Linked DNA regions of Drosophila melanogaster. The protein of the gene in region 1 purifies or fractionates together with the protein of each later gene. This does not show direct contact. Each region holds a gene or a part of one and is shown in the gene's direction. Other genes may lie near its edges. The genes, in order: Wdr92, spag, Pih1D1 and rept.

What was found.
Region 2: the proteins of Wdr92 (region 1) and spag purify together in Drosophila melanogaster (affinity purification with western blotting; one study listed by BioGRID). This does not show direct contact.
Region 3: the proteins of Wdr92 (region 1) and Pih1D1 purify together in Drosophila melanogaster (affinity purification with western blotting; one study listed by BioGRID). This does not show direct contact.
Region 4: the proteins of Wdr92 (region 1) and rept purify together in Drosophila melanogaster (affinity purification with western blotting, with the first as the bait; one study listed by BioGRID). This does not show direct contact.

Annotation. Positions count from the first base shown.
Region 1 is NT_037436.4:17,906,543-17,910,229, forward strand, and holds Wdr92 (WD repeat domain 92), read left to right. Parts: upstream 1-1,600; 5' UTR 1,601-1,711; coding exon 1,712-1,986; intron 1,987-2,042; coding exon 2,043-2,895; 3' UTR 2,896-3,141; downstream 3,142-3,687. Other genes in the region: CG5290 (uncharacterized protein), read right to left, coding at 3,207-3,687.
Region 2 is NT_033778.4:24,157,755-24,162,030, forward strand, and holds spag (spaghetti), read left to right. Parts: upstream 1-1,629; 5' UTR 1,630-1,716; coding exon 1,717-1,872; intron 1,873-1,925; coding exon 1,926-2,203; intron 2,204-2,262; coding exon 2,263-2,471; intron 2,472-2,533; coding exon 2,534-3,117; intron 3,118-3,174; coding exon 3,175-3,460; intron 3,461-3,524; coding exon 3,525-3,616; 3' UTR 3,617-3,749; downstream 3,750-4,276. Other genes in the region: CG42568 (uncharacterized protein), read right to left, coding at 27-359; DnaJ-60 (DnaJ-like-60), read right to left, coding at 608-776, 838-1,166, 1,220-1,331, 1,391-1,434.
Region 3 is NT_033779.5:12,715,808-12,723,779, reverse strand, and holds the start of Pih1D1 (PIH1 domain containing 1), read left to right. Parts: upstream 1-1,936; 5' UTR 1,937-2,058; coding exon 2,059-2,127; intron 2,128-2,217; coding exon 2,218-2,329; intron 2,330-4,539; exon of another isoform or gene 4,540-4,735; intron 4,736-5,723; coding exon 5,724-7,886; intron 7,887-7,972. Other genes in the region: MRP (Multidrug-Resistance like protein 1), read right to left, coding at 1-1,221, 1,296-1,349.
Region 4 is NT_037436.4:19,253,381-19,257,633, forward strand, and holds rept (reptin), read left to right. Parts: upstream 1-1,959; 5' UTR 1,960-2,134; coding exon 2,135-3,580; 3' UTR 3,581-3,731; downstream 3,732-4,253. Other genes in the region: mRpL21 (mitochondrial ribosomal protein L21), read right to left, coding at 918-1,453, 1,530-1,599. UniProt on the Drosophila melanogaster protein: Acts as a transcriptional coactivator in Wg signaling caused by altered arm signaling. Pont and rept interfere antagonistically with nuclear arm signaling function, and are required to enhance or reduce arm activity, respectively.

The DNA of each region.
Region 1 (3,687 bases):
TAATGTATAAAAATAATCTGTGTAAATTACCGATTGATTGATAAGTAATTCACAAGTTTTATTCGCTTCGTTGTGGGAAAGTATAAAGCTAGAATTTTATATTTGTCAGAAAGAAAATATAATTATAGATTTATTTAAATCTGGTTCTGTATTCATAACCAATAATTTTTACAAAAAGACCAAGTCGACTGTTAAGGGGAATTTTTGTAGAAATAATTGCCTTTATAATTGTGCACTTTACGTGTTGCATAATATTTACTTTTTTTTTTTTTTCAGACCAAAAAACCAATTAGTTTCCATTCACTATTTGTTCTCCCCAGCGTGGTGGGCTTATCAACAAATCCCAATAAGTATAGGGTATTCCGAACGGGCGATGCGACAGGTTGGCAAAAAGTCGCCAAAACGGAAGAATGACATAAACATATGTACTATATACATGATGTACTATAACGCTTATATACTAAATATTATACACTATGAGTGTGTGTCAAGTGCAAGTGCACCGAAAACAACAGAGAGGGCACACAGAAACAATAAAGCCAATGAAAAAGCTGAAAAGTACACAATTAACGTGATTGTCCCCAAAATTGACGATAAATCGAAAGGCAACGGCGGAAGTAAGGAAATGTTGGGCAATACAAATGAATGTGAAAACATGCCGAGAATGGAAGAATCTTTGTGGCTTTTACCTTTGAGAAACTACATTAATTTTTAGTTGGCACTCAATTCGGTTGCCAACGAGTACAGCTGTTGCTGTAGTTGTTGTTCTTGTAGTCGTCTATACTGCCGTCGATTTGTTGGCACCTTCAACTTTTGATAGCGCCTTTGTTATTGTTGTATCACTTGTTGCCAATAAAAAATTGATTAACACTTTTCTGGCGCATGCATCGCAAATATGCTAAACTTTGAGCACTCTTTAGCGAGTTTTTGTTCTGCCAAAACGATTATCACTTATATAAAACCGGCTAAAAGGCCCGCAAATTAATAGCCAACGCTATAAGCTGCGCTTTGTTATTTCAATAATATTTATTTTCGCTTATTTAACCCCGCACGTTTAATATCTCATCGTTTTTTTTTTAATGCAGAAAAGCGTCGCTTGCGACACACGTAAAAGTGTTTCTTTGTCGTTATATATGAAGTTGTTGCTGCTGTTGCTGTTGTTGTTGCTATTGGGGGGTCGAACGCCAAAAAAAGATGCTCGCGCCAAAAACTAAATATGTGGAAAATCCGCGACAGAAGCAAAACAGCGTCCGACTGACCCAGTAAAACTGAAGAAAAAAGTATTCAACTCACAGAGTGGCGAAAGCTTTTTAAGCTTACCACCATTAACAGCTGTTCCCGATGCCTTCTAATGTATCGGCATAACTATCGTACACACACATTATTTCGTAAATTTTAAATTATTTGATTATATGAGTACAAAATGTGAACTATAGTAATGGGATATACTTTTTACAAACGTTAAGCGTTATTATTTTTTTAAATATTGCATTTTAGTGGATATGTTATAATTTATCTATTTAAAAATTAGATTTGGTATATTTCCGTCAGCTGATTGGTATATTTCAGGCGCTGCATGTACGGCTACACTGAAAAAGAGGAAGAGATAGCCATGACAACAAAACAACTTGTTTTTGATAAATCCTTAAGTTTTCACCGGCCGCTTTTGGAATATTAGCATAAAGTTGAGACGGAAATATAGATCGTTGAAATGGACAAGCCCCAGCTTATTGAGCACCTCCACGAGGCACTCAACTACACGGTGTACGATACGAAATGGGTGCCCCTTTCGGCCAAGTTTGTGATTCTGGGCTCCAAGGCCAACGGGCACGGAATCATGGACATCTACGAACTCAACCAGGATAAGCTGGTGAAAGTGAAGTCCGTAGAGAAGAAGGTTGCCTTCAAATGCGGCACCTTCGGAGCAGCTTCGCTCAGGAACCGCCACATGGCCATCGGAGATTTCGAGGGCAGGCTGCAAGTTCTGTAAGCATAATCCCGCTTAAGTCATTAGATGCTTCTCTGACATGTGTTCTTTGCAGGGATATGGAGCAGCCGGACCTTCCGGTCTACAATGTAAAGGCCCACAACGGCATCATCAACACCATCGACGCGATTGGCGGCACACAAATCGATTGCGGTGCTCCGGAAATCGTTACTGGAAGTCGTGACGGCGCCGTTAAAGTCTGGGATATCCGCCAGGGGCAGGCTCCTGTGGTGGACATGTCGCCGCCGCCGCAAATGGGCGATGGCGTTAACAACAGCAGTGGCCGCCGGGACTGCTGGGCCGTGGCCTTTGGAAATACCTACAACGCTGAGGAGCGCATCGTTGCCGCCGGCTATGATAATGGAGATCTAAAGATATTCGATTTGCGATCCCTTTCCGTACGCTGGGAGGCCACCATGAAGAATGGTATCTGTGGACTGGAGTTCGATCGCCGGGACATTCCCATGAACAAGCTAGCGGTCACCACTTTGGAGGGCGGTCTCCTTGTCTTCGATATGAGAACCCAACATCCGACCAAGGGATTTAGTTACGTGGAGGAACGCAACGCCGGACGCAGCGTGGGAACAAATGGCGTGATCAGCGGACCCAAAGCCACCGTTTGGGTAGTTCGTCATCTGCCCCAGAATCGGGATCTCTTTCTCACGGGCGGCGGAACTGGTTCCATTCGCCTGTGGCAGTACGAGTATCCCGACAGGAGGGTCATTGATGACTCTGATGGAAACAAGTTGGGAGTTGCTGGAGCCCTTAATATGCTTAGTGCAGCCACTTTGAGCTCTCAGCCGGTTCACTGCTTTGACTGGCATCCAGACAAACTGGGCCTAGCCGTCTGTGGAGCATTCGATCAAAGCGTGCGCGTTTTAATTACCACCAAACTAAACACTTTTTAGATGGTGGACATCAAAAGAAACCCATTAAAGAAATGCTTCATACTTGTGATATTGGATGATGGGTTAATTCATAGGTTTATATTTTTATGAATACACTTTCATTGCACCTATTGCTAGACAATAAATCCTTAATGCGCAATAGCTTTTAAAATCAGAAAAACTGGATAATCTGCTTGAGCTGAATTATATTACAAATCAAAACTAGCTTACAAATATATATCAGCAATAAACTATTTCATGTACAATAAAAAATGACTCTTTTTATTTGTTTTGCAATTACAAAATAGTATAAAACCTTATATAGTGTATAACTAAGATCGAGACGCATTCATTCGTTCCTGGACAATTTTTGTCAGGTCTTCGATGCGTTTTTCCAGCTGCTCCACTTTTGCAGTCTGTTCTGCCGATACATCCACATTTATGGCTCTCTTCAAAGCATTCAGACAAGATGTTCCCGCCAGTCTGGCTGAATTTAGTTGAGAGGTAATCATTACCTCACTTTCCTCTTGAATGTGCTCTGTGATGGCCGCCACTGAGAGATCGCAGACCTCTAAACAAAGATCTAGGGCTTTTAAAGCGTGCTCCGACTTGGTTTCCCAGCCCAAATGCTTCGGTGTGTACGCACGATACGATTTTACCAGTTTCTCGGCCTTCTTCAGTGGCGTTTGGGCCACCAAGGCGGCCAGTTCCCACACAAGAGGCTCGTTACCATGTTGAATGCTCTGCTGTCCCAGAAGCTTTATGAGTCTTTTGATCAGAGCACTTGAGCCGGCGGGGTCCTCCTTGGAAACT
Region 2 (4,276 bases), on another chromosome or scaffold:
AATAACATAACCGACTGGACAACAACTTAGCCCCTGCTGGCACGGCGGGAGTTCGACTTCCTGTTCTTGCCGGAGCGCTTGGCCTGGCTCCGTTTGGCCTGGGTCTTCTTGGCGTTCAGTTTCCGGTTGCTCCTGGTCCTGGAACTACGGCTGGTGCTGCTGGCGGTGGTGGTGCCCACACGGATCTTCCTCACAATCGAGTACGTCAAGTTGGACAGGTACACTTTCTTGGGCGTGCTGGACGAGCTGTAGGTGGGACTGGTGGAAGTGGAGGAGGAGTTCTGTGAACTGGAGAAGTCCAGGCAGCAGATCACGAGCACCACGATGCACAGGGTGCCGATTTGAATAGTTGACTTCATGTTGGTAGTAGGATTGCTTTTAATATGCTTCGATGGATGCGGCCGGAGTGCTTAAGTAGTCGCCCTGGTTGTTTGCACAGTTTGCTCAATCGCCTACGAAGGCCGACGAAATTGTTTAATTTTGGCAAAACACACTGGCGCTTAAGCAATCGCTCTTGAGTTTGCTTTGCCTTGAACCAAAACAAAATATTCAAAAATAGCTATATGCTTTCACGTTTAATTTGACCAAAGGAAATGGGGAAATGGGATTACTTAGCCGAAGACTGGTTGAAAGGACTCCGCGACATACGGTCCACCATACGACGCACTTGCTCCTCGTTGCCGTACTTCTGGGCATCGGCCACAACGGCGGCATGATGGGAATTAGCCTCTGCTGAGATTTCGTCCTGGATCTGGCGACTCAGTTTAAAGGACGACCTGTTGGGGATGGTGAAAGTTCAGTGTGACTACTTAAATTCTCTGGTTCATAATCATTAACCTGACGGAGGTGAAGCCAAAGAGTGCCCCGACGAAGCCTAGGGCCATCAGAACCACGGCCACCTGCCAGTTGGAGACCCTCTTCAGACCACGGATGCCATAGTACGGTCCTGGATTGGGATCGTAGTTGGGCCTCACATCCCACGCCTGGCCGGGATTGACCGTCTCGCCAACGGGACTGCGGTCCGAGCGCGATGGCTGCCACAGCAGGCTGTCATCGTAGTCTCTCCTCCGCTCCGGCTTTATCAGGGTCTTGTACGCCTCGGAGATCTGAACAAATCGGGCTGTGCGCTCCGGACACGCAGCATTGCTCTTAACATCTGGGTGGTACTGTGGAAAGGGCAGGGTTTAGGAGGCTCCTTTGGAATCTTGGAGTTACTTACCAATTTGGAGAGCTGGACAAAGGCATTACGGACTTCACGGGTGCTGCAATCATTGCGAATATTCAAAACTTCATAGTGTGTTTCGGGTTTTCTTGGTTTGTCGTTCGAGAAACTGCGCAATAGGCAAACATTTACTTTACATAACAAGTTTTATAGACGTAAAGTCCTTACTTACGCACATATCCAGCTCGAGTTGGAAGGCACAACCTTAGCATTGTGAGCTTTATTAGTATTATTTGTGCTGATCTGTCGGAGAAAGCATAATTTTAAACTAGGACTTTCAAAATAAAATCAAAACACAAAACAGCTGATTTGAGGGCCTTACTCTGGCAATCCTGGCTGGCCAGCTACAAAAATAGAGTTGGCAGCTCTGTTCGATGAAACAGCAACTCAGTTGAACTATCGACAGCGAGCAGTGCTGCCAGACTGTCGGAGCGCTAGCAACAGAAATAACAAACATTTAATATTTCTTTAGCCACTTGACAAGGCAAATCAATATGAGTGCACAGGAAAAAGCCTTCGAACTGCAGCGCCAGGTGCGCCAGAACGCGCGGGAGTACGAGAACTCCGTGAAGGACTTGTACTCCTGGGAGCAAGACATTAAAAACAAGGAGAAAGAGCTCCAGAAGTCGCCGCTTTCTGCCGCCAATAAGGTTAGCTTTAAATTCTTTGGTATTAACAAGTAAAGCTCACACTTTCAATGCAGGATCTGCCAGTGCGCAGTCATGTCCAGACAGACAAGTCGCGGAAGGAGAGCCCATCCTCCTCGGCGGCCAGCTCACCCACGGAGAAACAGGACTTGCCAGTGGATCCTGTGGCCCAGCAGTACAAGAAGGCCAACGACATCAAGGACCGTGGAAACACCTATGTCAAGCAGGGGGAGTACGAGAAGGCCATCGTGGCCTACTCCACTGCCATTGCCGTCTATCCCCACGATCCCATTTACCACATTAACCGGGCACTGTGCTACCTAAAACAGGAGAGGTAGGACTGTTTAGAATGTTCTCGATACTTCTTCCTTACATGCATATTTATCCTTGCAGCTTTGATCAATGCGTGGAGGACTGCGAGGCCGCCATTGCGCTGGATAAGCTCTGCGTGAAAGCTTACTACCGGCGAATGCAGGCCAACGAGTCCCTGGGCAACAACATGGAAGCCCTGAAGGATTGCACCACTGTGCTGGCCATCGAGCCGAAGAACATCGAGGCCAAGAGGAGCCTGGCCAGAATCAACGACCGTCTGCGCAAGATTGGTAAATATAATTTTGATTACCTAGTAAGCATATTTTAAGGCTTTTCATTGGCATCCTTACAGCCACCAAAAGTGGGCCAAACTTTACACCCGATCGTCCTGGCATGATTGAGATCTTGCCAATCGAGAAGCCTGCTTATAAACGCTCCAAGAAGGCAATGCGCAGTGTTCCCGTTGTAGACGTGGTATCTCCTCGTGCTACCATCGATGATAGCAACCAACTACGCATTTCGGATGAGGACATAGATAAGATATTTAATAGTAACTGCGGCATAATCGAAGAGGTCAAAAAAACAAATCCAAAGCCGACGCCAATGCCAGACACATCAGGTCCACCCAAAGCTGAGACCATTGCTAAGACCTCCAAAGAAGTCAAGCCTACCAAACAGACTGCGGTTAAAGTAGCTCCAGCTGTGGAAACCCCCAAAGAAACAGAAACACGCAAGGATACCAAGATTGTGCCTGAATCCGATAATGAGGCCAAGCCAAGTGCACCCAAAAAAACGGCTGTCGAGGTCCCCAAGGTTCAGACTCAAGTTTCTCCACCAAAGACCACAATAGAACGCAGCCCAGAAGTCAATACCGTGCAAACTGAAAAAATTGAACAAGCTTCGAGCAACAACGCAATGTCACCCAGTCCAATAGAGGTAGGTTCGCTTAAGATCAAAGCTGAATTATTATTAAACCAATTCTCTATGATTTAGCGCTTCTTACCGCCCGCACCCACGAGCACAGCACAGTTCCATGTGACCTGGAAGGAGCTGAGTGGTCCGCAGAAGTACCAATACCTAAAGTCCATTGAAGTCCCGAATCTGTGTAAGATCCTGGGAGCAGGCTTCGATTCGGACACGTTTGCCGACCTGCTGCGCACCATCCACGACTTCTTTGTACCAAATAAGGAGCCAAACACAGCAGCTGTCTTGCTGGAGATCAGCAAAAATGACGAATTCACCATTTTGGCCATGCTCATGTCCGCAGAGGAGAAGAAAAGTAGGTGACAAAACTTTTCTTGCATAATTTCGTTTGCATTTCATGTACTTTCCCCTTTTCACAGTGGTTTCGTCTATCCTCAACGCCATCAAGAACTGGCCCAGCAAGAATCCGGCTGTGCTGGACAACCTTTTCAAGGAATACGGAGTAGCCTAAACACCCAATGTTTTATGTTAAAATGTACTTATGTTGCTTCAAATTGTTAGCTCCAAAATCAACTAAAACAACAAAAATGTTTAAAATATAAAGAGGATTTGTAGATAGGATCCCAAAACGTTACACAGAATGCGAATGATTGAATGTGTTTTGTTCAGCGTTTATTAGATACGCTAAGATGCTCACTAGTTACACATGCTGGGAATATCTCAAAGTGACTCATGTTTTTTAGCCTAGTATAAGCCGAAAATTCCATATGCAGAAGACCATTTGAGCAAACAAACCGTTCTTGCCCGACCAGACCATGAATATTGAATAACCAATTGAGTAATACGAATTAGTGTAATTTACATAAATCAGCGCATTAATTCAATCTGCGAAGCCACCTAAAATGGGCCTTCCAGCAAGAACAACAACTCCATTAAGCGACGTTAAGTTGGAAGCGCTGATGATCAGTCGGCTTATCCGATCCGTGCACATATCATTACAGCGAAACCACAGCCAGGAGCACCAGGAGGGGCCCCCAAAGCAGGAGGGGCATCTCGCCGAGAACCGCGCACCACCGAGGCACCCGGGCGGCCCACTAATTGCGTGAGAGCTGGTGCACTAAGCACAGGGGCCGGGTTTTACTTTAGCCCATTGTGCCGCCGCTAGTTATAA
Region 3 (7,972 bases), on another chromosome or scaffold:
CTTTTTGGTGGAGTTCGAAATGCGCAGGGCCTTGCGGTAGATGGCATTGATCAAAGCTGTCCTGATTCGCAGGCCCACAATGAACATTCGGTGGAAATATTGCCCCAGAATAAAGGTCTGTGCAGCGGCCAAAACGAAAAGCAGGACAGCGTATAAGATACCCTTCCATTCGGGCTCGGCATCTTGGGCCTCGACGAAGCTGATGATCAAACTCAGGACTTGGGGCTGGGCAAATGTCAGGGTGTCGGTGAACAGCTTCATTAGGGCGCCGAACAGAAAGACGCCTCCGAAGGACTTGTAAATTGGCGGCATAATACTGGCCATGCCCTTCTTGCGGCCATTCTTCTCACCGTGGGGATTCTCAAAGGTCACGTTGCCATTGCTAAACTGCGCCTTGGGTTCTACGCGCGCCTTGTTCTTGTAGTTCTTGCGCACGTTCTGGTTCCAGTGGTGGGCGAAGATGGGCATGACCTCGGAGCAGCTGTCCTGCGGCCTCAGGTCCCACAGATCCTTCTCCTCCAGCGGGTTGCGATAGCCCTTGAGGGCCATTTTGTCGAACCACTGATAGGTGATGCGGGAAAGGAAACTGGCTGACAGTTCGGGAATCTCGTTCTCACCCCTCTGGTACTTGGTTTGTCTGGGCATTCCGTCCGCGAAGCAGTTCAGGATCAGCATAATGCTGGTGAAGGTGAAGAAGATAAAGAAGCTAACGAACTGATACTCCTCCCAGGAAAAGTCCTGCTCGGATGGCTGTTGCGAATTCAGAATCTTCTGGCGCTCCGCGTCCAGTCGAACTTCAGTGCGGCAGCGGGGAATCGACAGCACAGTGAGCAGGAACCAGAAGATGAACTGACATCCCGTGGTCTGCACGCCATACTTTCGATTCAGCGGGATGAATATGAAGAGCAACAGGAAGGTGGCGAACTTGATGATGGGACCCCAAACATCCAGGTCGTAGAGCGGCAGCTCAGAGTCGCCGCCCTTCTTGACCAGCGCCATAATTAGGTCCAGGGCAGTGATTACCAGCAGACCCAGATTCACCAGAGCTTTGCTCACGTTCAGCTTGTTCCACGGTATATTCCTGTCCAAACTCGCCTTCAGGTAGTAAAAGTCAAAGATCACGAACGCCCAGTAGAAGGCGCAGGGTGTCCAGACCAGCGCCGTTTGCTCAAAGCAGGGCGTAAAGTCCGGATCGTTGGTATACCATGTCTCTGTTGCGTTCTGTTCGTTGGACACACGGAAACCATACATTTACACTATGCATTCGGATTGAACACCACTGCTGATGCACTCACCCAGAACGTGGATCCGCAGAATCTGTCCATCGGCGAACTAGTGTCATCCGCCATGGTTACTCGACTGCTCGGCAACCTCCTCCACGTGCAATTGGGCTATATGCGTATGCTATATCGGGCGATGTGGTAACTGTAAAGCGGCAAGGAAATAAACGGATCTATATTTTCGGGCCAACAGCTGTTCCTTCCCAAGCCGCACAACTACAACAACCGCTAATCGTGACAGTGGGAAGTTGATTGCTAGTATTTTTCTGGTATTTCGCGGGCACAGTGGGTGTCGGATGGAAAATGAGTGTATAATTCTGCACTGCGTGTTATTTTAATTGTTTATATTGATTTAAGTGAAACTTGTAATTTTTGTACATAAATTATTAAAATACATTTGCTTGGAAAACTTAGTAGAAGCAAGTAGAAATCAATTGCATTTGCAACAGCAAAAATACAAATGAATTTCTTAAATTTGGATTAAGCTTTTAAAGTTTCATATAGAAATTCATAGCAATTATTCTCGAAAATTCTTGTCATTTACTTTTTATTAATGAGCACCCTGTACAGGGAAAACGCCTATCTAGTATTTTTAGCCTATCGCATGGCATTAAATGTTTTTCCACCGGCGTTCACACTGTCACATTAGTTTTCATTTCAATCGAGTTGACAGCTCCATTCTGGCAAATAAAATTTGCGTTTTTCGCTCGTCGCTCAGCGCAAAAATAGCATTTGCATTGGATTAACTCGTAACTGGCAATTGAAATCGTGCAGCAAAATGTCGCGTCGTTCCAATTTCATTGAGGGCAACGACAATTTTCGCGACCAGAACCTGCGCTTTGTGCGGGTAAGCAAAACTTGAGAAATTCGATGTGAGGAACTATCTGCGCCACTAAAGATGAACTTGTTTTTTTTTTTTTTCATTTTCTAAATGCAGAACGAGTTTGAGGACAATATTAACCAGTACTTTGGAGGCGCCGATCCGGAGGGCAGCGGCCCGCAGCAGAAACCGCCGCCGCGAGACTCGCTGATTGTCCAGCCGACCGCAGGTAAGTGGCGTCCATTGCAACAGCCGGAGCTTCACATGGCACAGCAATCGCTGCCGGTGGCGCGGAGAATCTAACCGGAGATTACAGCCAGCTAGTAGTAGGCATGACTCTGGGTTTATGGTCTACTTAGCACTTGTGTGTGCACAGTAATCTCTGCGAGCGCGGAACCATGTCAACCTGATAAACATCTCACGTCGACGTCGATTGCGCGTAATCGCTCGGGGTGGTACAGTGAACCCGCGATAAGGCGAACAAACGCACGCGAATGGAACACGTCATAGGACAGAAAAACCCATCCTAACGAATCTTCGACAAGACTTTAAAAACCAATTACGAATATTGAAAACATATCCGAATTACTTGTATTTAAAATTGAATCAATTGCTCTAAATTTTTTAATTAATTCCGTAAGTTAACTATAGTTTGTGCACACTTTTTGTATATTCAAATTTCCAATCTTTTAATGGTTATTAATTAGTATTTTGCACTTAACTATTGGATAATTCGTCAAAACAAAGGCAAAAAATCAATTATCCAAACAAATCAGTTTAATTCCTATGCACACTATTATTTGACAAACTATCTATCGTATTGAAACAAAAAGAGGGTTGAGCGGGTAGTTAGTACGAAGTTTTGTAATCTAGCCGTCGTTATTGTGCGCTACGGCAGTTAAGTGTTTACATGTCCAGGGCCACTTGGAGGAAGGTCTAATCGCGCCCACTTGAAACGATAGTTTATAGTCCAGCGAGATTGTACAATGCCAATGACAAATGAGCGACTAAAACGTGTTTCCCCGCCTCGAAGAAGAACTAATTTACACAGAGATACACACAACTAAAAAGAAGGAATGAGAAACTTTAAGCGAATCTTGAACGGAGCTCATAAAAGGTATTGGGCTAGTCACATTTTATGGGCGCCAAAAACTTGTTTGCCCCGTACACGCATGTGTTTTAAGCCATTTGACTTTAGATAAAATTCTAACACATCTGAAACGAGTATTTTCAGTTCGATATAATTAACGGCGAAACCTGTTCCCGCAGCGATTATATAAGCACAAAACAATCGGCAGAAAAAACCCCCTTACAAAACCTAATATTTCAATTGTACGAAATGTGTGTGTTTTGCCTTTACACCCAAGTGAAATTTCTCTTTAAAAACAAAAACGTCGACTCACGATGAGATGCTAAGCAAAATGGCATGGAGATCTCTTGGCTGCACCATAAAATCAAGGAGAAAACCTGACAATTTTCTCAGCAAAAAACGCCACTCTCTTCACAACCTGACTGACACACACGGTTTGTTTGTTCTGGATCAGATCATGCCAGCCGGCACAAATTGTTTACACCGCCAAAGAAGAGTGATTTATTTACAGAATATCAACGACACTCGACACTTGATGACTTTTATTAATAGGGAAAAAGCTGAGATAAGGCTGACTGGCTGCATTTAGCCAAGTGTGCAAACTCTGGAGAAAACAACTTCCACATAGCGAGAATGATTATACGAGCAGCTCCTTATCGGGGACCCCACAGCTGAACCTTATCGTGTGTGCTGCCTGTTGCTGTCCCCCTACTAGACTCTTCCATTGTGTTTGTCGTTGCTCCAGTTATGAATTGCACATCGTAAACCCTATATTGCTCCTAATCGCACACTTGTTTGCTCCACTTGCTGCTGATTCTGAGTCCTTGGAGCTTGATTACCATCGGACTGGGCGAGAAGCTGTCGAACCCACAGATCGTAGGCCATCTTTCAAGGCCTGTGACGTCAGTGGAACCCACGAGGCAATTAACTTCAAATTTGTTCGTACGAACAGCAGTACGACAACCTTGCGCACCACAATTTTTACACTTTTTCTGTTATCAATTAAATAATCGAGCTGCGAGCATGACAAAACACTTAACCATATCAAACTACTTTGAATGTGAATCATCGATTTCTCGTCAGTTCTTTTTTTTTTTTTTCGTATTTCTTTCGTTTGCTGAGAAATGTTTGCGCGGGATATTCTGGAGCCTTTCGGAAATTTCACAATTTCAGGCAAAGAATGTGGACACACAGAGATAGATACACAACACATAGATACGAACGCACACTGGCACACTTGTTCCGCTTTGGCGGAATCCAACAACCACATATCAACAAGGGTATCAAAAATGGACGGCGGTGGTTGTTGTTGGCGGTATCGATGCGACTGAAATGTCACTTATAATTACCTCTACGTAGAAAAAAACTCGCTGCGATTCAAACGAATCGGTTGTGGGGGATCGGAGTGAATAGAATCGAATCGAAACAAAACGAGCCGTAGCGGTTGAGGTCGGATCGCTATTTGGATTTGGATGGAGGGCAGCGTCGGCGGAGCACTTCAAAATCGACGGACAACCGGCTCGTTACGAGCAAAAAGGCAAACTGAATTCGAAGCGAGCGCTGCGAACAAACTTATTTGTTTTCCGCGCTTTCCGTGCTCAAAAAAAAAACAACAAAAATGAGATAATAGCGCCACCTCGGAGAGCGTTTAACTTGGCTCTTTTTGTGGCGCTGACTGCCTGGTGGCCGCCCGATCAATTAAAACCCCCTGCCATCAAAGCACCCGACTCTCCAATAATGCCAAGTTTGTCCAGAATAAAACCCAGCTGAAAGATACCGACTCTCTTTCCTGATTTTAAGTGCCGATTTAAACATATTTTCCTGCTCTGGTGAAATTATTCTGAACCGAAATGGACACACGACGCGACTCTTAAACGTTTTGTTGTCGCAAGAGCAACAAAAGTGGGCCGAAATGATAACGATATCAACAGTAGTCATACAATTAAGAGCATTTAATGGGTGTTTGGTTGCGAATTCTTCACGATTTTGGTATAAGCATGACCATACCTATTGATTATCAGTTTATTGTGTGTTTGATGCCATAAATGTATAATTACTGAGTAGTTTCTTAACAACTACAACTACAGGATTTGCTGCTATGCATTTCGAAAGTACACACCAATAGAATAGAATTCTGTGATAGAATTTCTAATCTAATCAATTTAGATGTTTAATTTAAAATATGAGATAGTGGCAGTGCTTAGTGTTTATAGATTGACAAAAAATCAAACATCAAACTTAGTCAGCATTTTGATAACGACTGAAAAGGCAATCAAGTAGTAATGCAATTGAAATTATCATTTTTTTTTGTGTTGTACAATTTGTTAAAGCAATTAAAGGGTGGGAAGAAATGCAAAACAAAGCAAATCTATTATAGATTTAAACTAAAATTTGTATGCATATTTTCAGTGAGCATTGTCGTCATGAGTAGATTAGATTGGAATTGGTTTGCTAAACGTGACCACATAGCTCTAACCTAAAACGTGTCTGCTTTTTTAAATTTTAAATTTCATATGTGGTACCATGAAAATAGCCAACAGCGAGCTGGACAATCGGCGCCAATTTCTCCGTGACCTGGGCGCCAGTCGGGTGTTGGCCAACGCCTTGGCGCAGCGCACCTTCAATGTGCCCAAGTTCAACCTGCGCCATTTCCAGCGCCAGAGGTTCCGCCTCAGCGTCGAGCTGGGCGACAGTCACCAGGATGTGGTGGACAAGGAGGTGCTCCAAGCCATCGAGGAAGCGGTGGCTAGCCACGACGACGTCGAGTCGCGGCCACGCACTCCGTCGCCGCCGCGGAACATTGATTGGCACAGCGCCAGGATGAATAACTCACCGGCTAATAAGGATCGATCGCGTTCTAGGAATCGTCAGAGAGAGGAAAATTTCCCAAACAACAATCGCGGAGTTGTGGAACAACGGGAGCCAATCAATAGGAATTGTGGACCCGTAAATCGCAATAATCCTGGCATGAATCCTGCTGAGTTCAATCGCAATCGTTATGCAAATGCGCAGGACTTTAATCGAAATAATCGAAATATGGACAGAAGTGAATTCAATCAAAATAATCGCAATTTCAACCGAAATGAGGGTTCACGTCCCAATCCACAGGATTTCAATCGTCCCAATAGAAATCAAAATCCACAGGATTTCAATCGTCCCAATAGAAACCAAAATCCACAGGATTTCAATCGTTCCAATAGAAATCAAAATCCACAGGATTTCAATCGATCTAATAGAAATCAAAACCCCCAGGATTTCAATCGTCCCAATAGAAATCAAAATCCACAGGATTTCAATCGCAATAATCGTAATGCCTATCCGCATGAATTCAATCGTAATATCCGAAATGATAACGAGCAGGAATTTAATCACAATCGTAATGCAGTCAATGATGAATTCAATCGCAATACTCGTAATGTTAACAACCAAGCATTCCCTCAAGGACATAACCATAACAATCGTAATGCGAATGCACAATTCAATCGCAAAACTTTTGACGAGAACCCAAACTTTAATAACCAACGTTTTCAAGGACCAAATCACCAGATCAACTATCGTGTTCAGATGCCAAACAATGATCATTCCCAAGTAAACAACAATCGCAGGCCTGGTAATCAGAACTTCGTTTCGAATCAGCAACCCAACTTGGATCGTAATGCTATAAGCGATGACGGCATTCAGCTGCCAAGAGATCGATTCCGTTCGCCTGAAGCGCATCCAAAACAACCACCATATCCACGTAATGTGAACGCTGACCAGGTTGGAAACCGTGGACCCCAAAAGAGGCACAATTATCAGCGTATTGTGAATGACAATCAAATAATACTACGTCGCACCGACTGGACTGACGAAGAAGAGGATCTAGATCTAGAACACCATGATATAGACGACTATATACCCGATGAACGCGAATTTCTTGAAGATGATGCCGATTTCATCGATGACACAAATGATACACTTATGAATGATGATCAGTATGAGGGTTACCACTCAAGGGGTAATCAACACTACATCCAAGATCATAACATCGATGATCGTAATTCATATGGACGCAATCGCAACGATCGTAACTTTGAGGGCATTAGGCGCCAGTTTGATCCAGAACTCGATCGACGCAACTTAAACGACAACTTCAATCAGCGAAACAACTATTCGCGTGGCGGTGACACCGTACGCTTTCCCCGAAGGGAGGATGACACATTCCAAGGCTCAAATAACCCTAATTTTCCACCGAACTATCCAAACACTATTCTCCGTGGATCGGGTTCTGGAAATCGTTGCCGCGATACGAGCTCTAACAGACCCATGGGTCCCAATCAAAACAGACGAAGCCGCCTACCAAATGCTGATGAAGCTGCTCCAAGTGTGGCCCATTCTGGGGGTCCCATACAAGATGGAACTAATTTAAATCGTAGAATCAATAAAAATTTAAATCCTGGCAAGGGGCCAGATCGCATCAATGCTGGGACTCCTAATCAACCCAGATCCAAGTCAACCACATCTCAAACTCGAAATCTAAATCCTGATATTCCAAACAAAATGGTCAAGAAGTCGGCGGTTCCACAAGACAATCGTGCACCGCAACCAAACAAACCTATGAACACCAATCCTGGTGCATCCAAACCTGGTCAGTCGGTAATCAAACCGAAACTACAGGCAACCAAGATCAACGCGGCCATGGCGAAACCGCTCGCTGGTAAGGGATAAACTTTTGAATTCTTAATAAATTAAAAATTTGATACAAACCAATTACAAGCTAGCTTATAGAGCTTTTGTATTGGT
Region 4 (4,253 bases), 1.3 Mb from region 1:
CTTACATCTGCTGATAAAGAAAACAGCAGGCATCCCATGTGAGCCATGTCCATAGGTTATAAATCGTGGTCGGGCTGCCTGGTTGGGTGGTTCCGACCTGGCTAGGTAGTTTGGTAGTTTGGTTGGATGGTGCAGCGACGTCTTTTTTAATGAAAGATGGCAACAACATCATGAGCGATAAAAGGTTGTCATTAAAATTGCAGTGGTTCTACTGGTTGCTTCATTAGAGCAGGCGCCTCTTCTTTGTCGCGGTGCAAGAGTCGGGAGCTGGGTAGCTCGTATTCCAAACTAGGTTGCCGTTTTGGGTAAATACTGTCGGGCAGAGTCATTGAATCAAGATGAAAGTGGAATTTCTAATGGAAAGACAAAAAGCAACAGCAGAAGGGCAATATCTGCAAAATTCCACGAGGCAAAAATAGGAATGAAAATTGGTAAAACATTTGCTTGGTTTTTAAAATTGCTAGATAACTTGCTGAACATTCTGCCAAAACTTAGAAACTGTAGCTAGCCATATTTTAAAAGTTAATATGAGCTTAAAATATACTGAACTATAGAACTATATGTACTGTTAACACTGATATCAGTGACTGCAGTTAAAACCAAACTGATGCTTACAATTGATTTTGGTGACTTAGATAAAACAAGAACTTTATAACATTTCATCAATTACAAAATGGGTTTTATCTTAATTATCTGTATTGTAACAAAGTCCTAAGAATATTGAATTTTTATGACATTTATTATTAATGAATTAAGGGCAAATATACAAATATCACTAGAAAAGTTTCAACCGTTTTAGAAAATATACAAAATCAGCATCTGAATAAAGTTATCCTCTTCCAGTTCAAAGTGGTTTGTGTTTTCTTAATTACCTTCCAAAAACTTGGTTTATTTTTCGTGATCAACAGCATTTTAAACTAAAACAAGCGCCTCGAGGAAGACTCCCCCTCGCCATTCCCGTCCACTGGACGAGCCAGTTCAATTGAATTGATCCGGACCATGGTGTGCGGAGATCTCTGGAAGTTGATGCGCATGTACTGCTTCCTGCGCTTCTTCCTAAAGTGCGTCTTCGTGTGGCTGAGCGTCTTCTCCACGACGGTGGCCTTCACCAAGATGAGTCCGGGCTCCAAAATGGGCCTTCCCACGAGCGTGAAGTCGCGGGCACCGGCCAGGAGCACCTTATCCAGGCTGATCTCGTCGCCTATCGTTGGCGGCCAGTATCCCTCCACCAGGATGATATCTCCTGGAGTTACTTTAAATTGCTTGCCGCACAGGTGGACAACCGCGAAGAGTCGTCCCTGCTCGGATTTTTGCACCTGCCGGTTGATGCGCTCGCAGATGCTCAGGCACTCCTTCTGCTGATCCTTAGCTATGGCCGATAAATCCACCGATTCCGTCGCCGGCTTGTTTTGCTGCCCAATTACCGGCGATATGCTCAGTGGACGCATGGCACCTACAAAAGAATGGGATTTCATTGGGACCTGGTTATGTCACATTGTTTACATCGATGCTATTTAATATTCACTTACCTGCCGTCAACAAACTGCGATTGGGCACGTGGCGTAGCATTTGACGCATAGTTTGCGCTAGAAAGGACATCGTTTGGCTTTGTTTTTAACTCAAAAGTACATAAATAAATCGGATCGGTTTAATGTCGGCAGATAGGCAAAATGTGAATAACACTAACGCGTTTTCGAACAGCTGTGTTAGCATGCGCACGTTAACATCCCTGTTACATTTTCAGAAATAGCTTGTAATAGCTAGTACGACTAAAGCTTGAAGCAACTCAATAAATAACAATAAGTTACCGCACACTTGCAGATATTTCGGAAAATGGTTTCCTTTACATTTAATTTAATCGTATTATATTTAGCGGCTTGTGTACTTGTAAAACCTAGCTGCCGCTAGCGAATGTTCTCCCACGCTGCCATCACTGACAGCATGTGCTGCGCATAACAGTGCTGTGTAATCATCGAACTTTCAACACTACTCCAAGCAGGCCGGTAATTTCATATACGAATTTTATGCTTAGCAACTTATTTAAGCCCAGTAAACAACTAGTAAGCCACTGAAAAGATCGCACAAGAGTACAACTCCCGACCAGTGATACAGTAGACAGAATCAAAAGCACAAAATGGCCGAGACCGAGAAAATCGAGGTTCGCGACGTGACTCGCATCGAGCGCATTGGCGCCCATTCGCATATCCGCGGATTGGGACTGGACGATGTGCTGGAGGCTCGTCTGGTATCCCAGGGAATGGTGGGCCAGAAGGACGCGCGCCGTGCCGCCGGCGTTGTGGTGCAGATGGTTCGCGAGGGCAAGATCGCCGGAAGATGTATCCTATTGGCCGGGGAGCCTAGTACCGGCAAAACGGCCATTGCTGTGGGAATGGCGCAGGCTCTGGGCACCGAGACCCCATTCACTAGCATGTCCGGATCGGAGATATACTCGCTGGAGATGAGCAAGACCGAGGCTCTGTCACAGGCACTGCGCAAGAGCATTGGCGTTCGCATCAAGGAGGAAACCGAGATCATCGAGGGCGAAGTGGTGGAGATCCAGATCGAACGCCCCGCCTCGGGTACCGGACAGAAGGTGGGCAAGGTCACCCTCAAGACCACCGAGATGGAAACCAACTACGATCTGGGCAACAAGATCATCGAGTGCTTCATGAAAGAGAAGATCCAGGCTGGCGATGTGATCACCATCGACAAGGCGTCCGGAAAGGTCAACAAGCTGGGTCGCAGCTTCACCAGAGCCAGGGACTACGACGCCACTGGCGCTCAGACCAGATTCGTCCAATGCCCCGAGGGTGAGCTTCAAAAACGCAAGGAGGTGGTGCACACTGTGACCCTACACGAGATCGATGTTATCAATAGTCGCACCCACGGGTTCTTGGCCCTGTTCTCCGGCGATACTGGAGAGATCAAGCAGGAGGTTCGCGATCAGATCAACAACAAGGTTCTCGAGTGGCGCGAGGAGGGCAAAGCTGAGATAAATCCGGGAGTACTCTTCATAGACGAGGTGCACATGCTGGACATTGAGTGCTTCTCCTTCCTGAATCGCGCCCTGGAGTCGGACATGGCTCCGGTGGTGGTGATGGCCACCAACCGCGGCATCACTCGTATTAGGGGCACTAACTATCGCAGTCCGCACGGCATACCCATTGATCTACTCGATCGCATGATCATCATACGCACTGTACCGTATTCCGAGAAGGAGGTTAAGGAGATCCTAAAGATTCGCTGCGAGGAGGAGGACTGCATCATGCACCCGGATGCCCTGACCATTCTTACACGCATCGCCACAGATACCAGTTTACGCTACGCCATCCAACTGATTACCACAGCCAACTTGGTCTGTCGTCGCCGCAAGGCCACCGAAGTCAATACCGAGGATGTGAAGAAGGTCTACTCGCTCTTCCTGGACGAGAATCGCTCGAGCAAGATCCTCAAGGAGTACCAGGATGACTACATGTTCAGCGAGATCACCGAGGAGGTGGAAAGGGACCCGGCCGCTGGAGGCGGGGCAAAGCGTCGCGTGGAGGGCGGCGGAGGAGATGCCCAGCCCATGGAGCACTAGAGTCTAAACTGACATCGCAGCAACCCCCCAGTACATTCTCATGACTATTTTATGATCAATAAATAAGTTTCCTTGTATCTATGATTAAATTAAATGCCTACGAATTTGGTCATGGTTTTATAACGATTGTAATTAATAAACCATTATCAGCATATGGTTTCAAAGTTTTATAATTTCGGAAAAGGATATCAAATGGCCAATTGGGGTAGTTAAATACAGCATTGGCTAAAAATAAAATCATTTTTCTTCTCATTGTAGCAAGGGAATCAAGATAGTACAAATTTTTCAATAATTAACTTAAAAATTGCGTTTAGTAGCTTGCAAAATAATAATTATAATCAATAAAACGCAGAAATGAACTTAATGCGCATGTTATTCGATTCCTACTACAATTCTCACTAATTTCTAGTTTGAGCTATCTTAGGAAATAACTAGAAAAACAGCCACGCGTCTTGTACCTAAAAATAATTTCATTGCATTTATTTCGCATTTCAATTTACTGACATTAAAACTTAGCGTGAGCATATCAAAATATATCGTCGCATCATCTTTACATTGGTATAAAACTGTCTTTATGGCTTAGTTAGTCTCCTTGAGCGCTGCTCCCCTTTCAATAAATGAAATTTGAGTTTGATTTTCAAAGACCCTGGTGTATCGTTATAGTCTCGAGTGA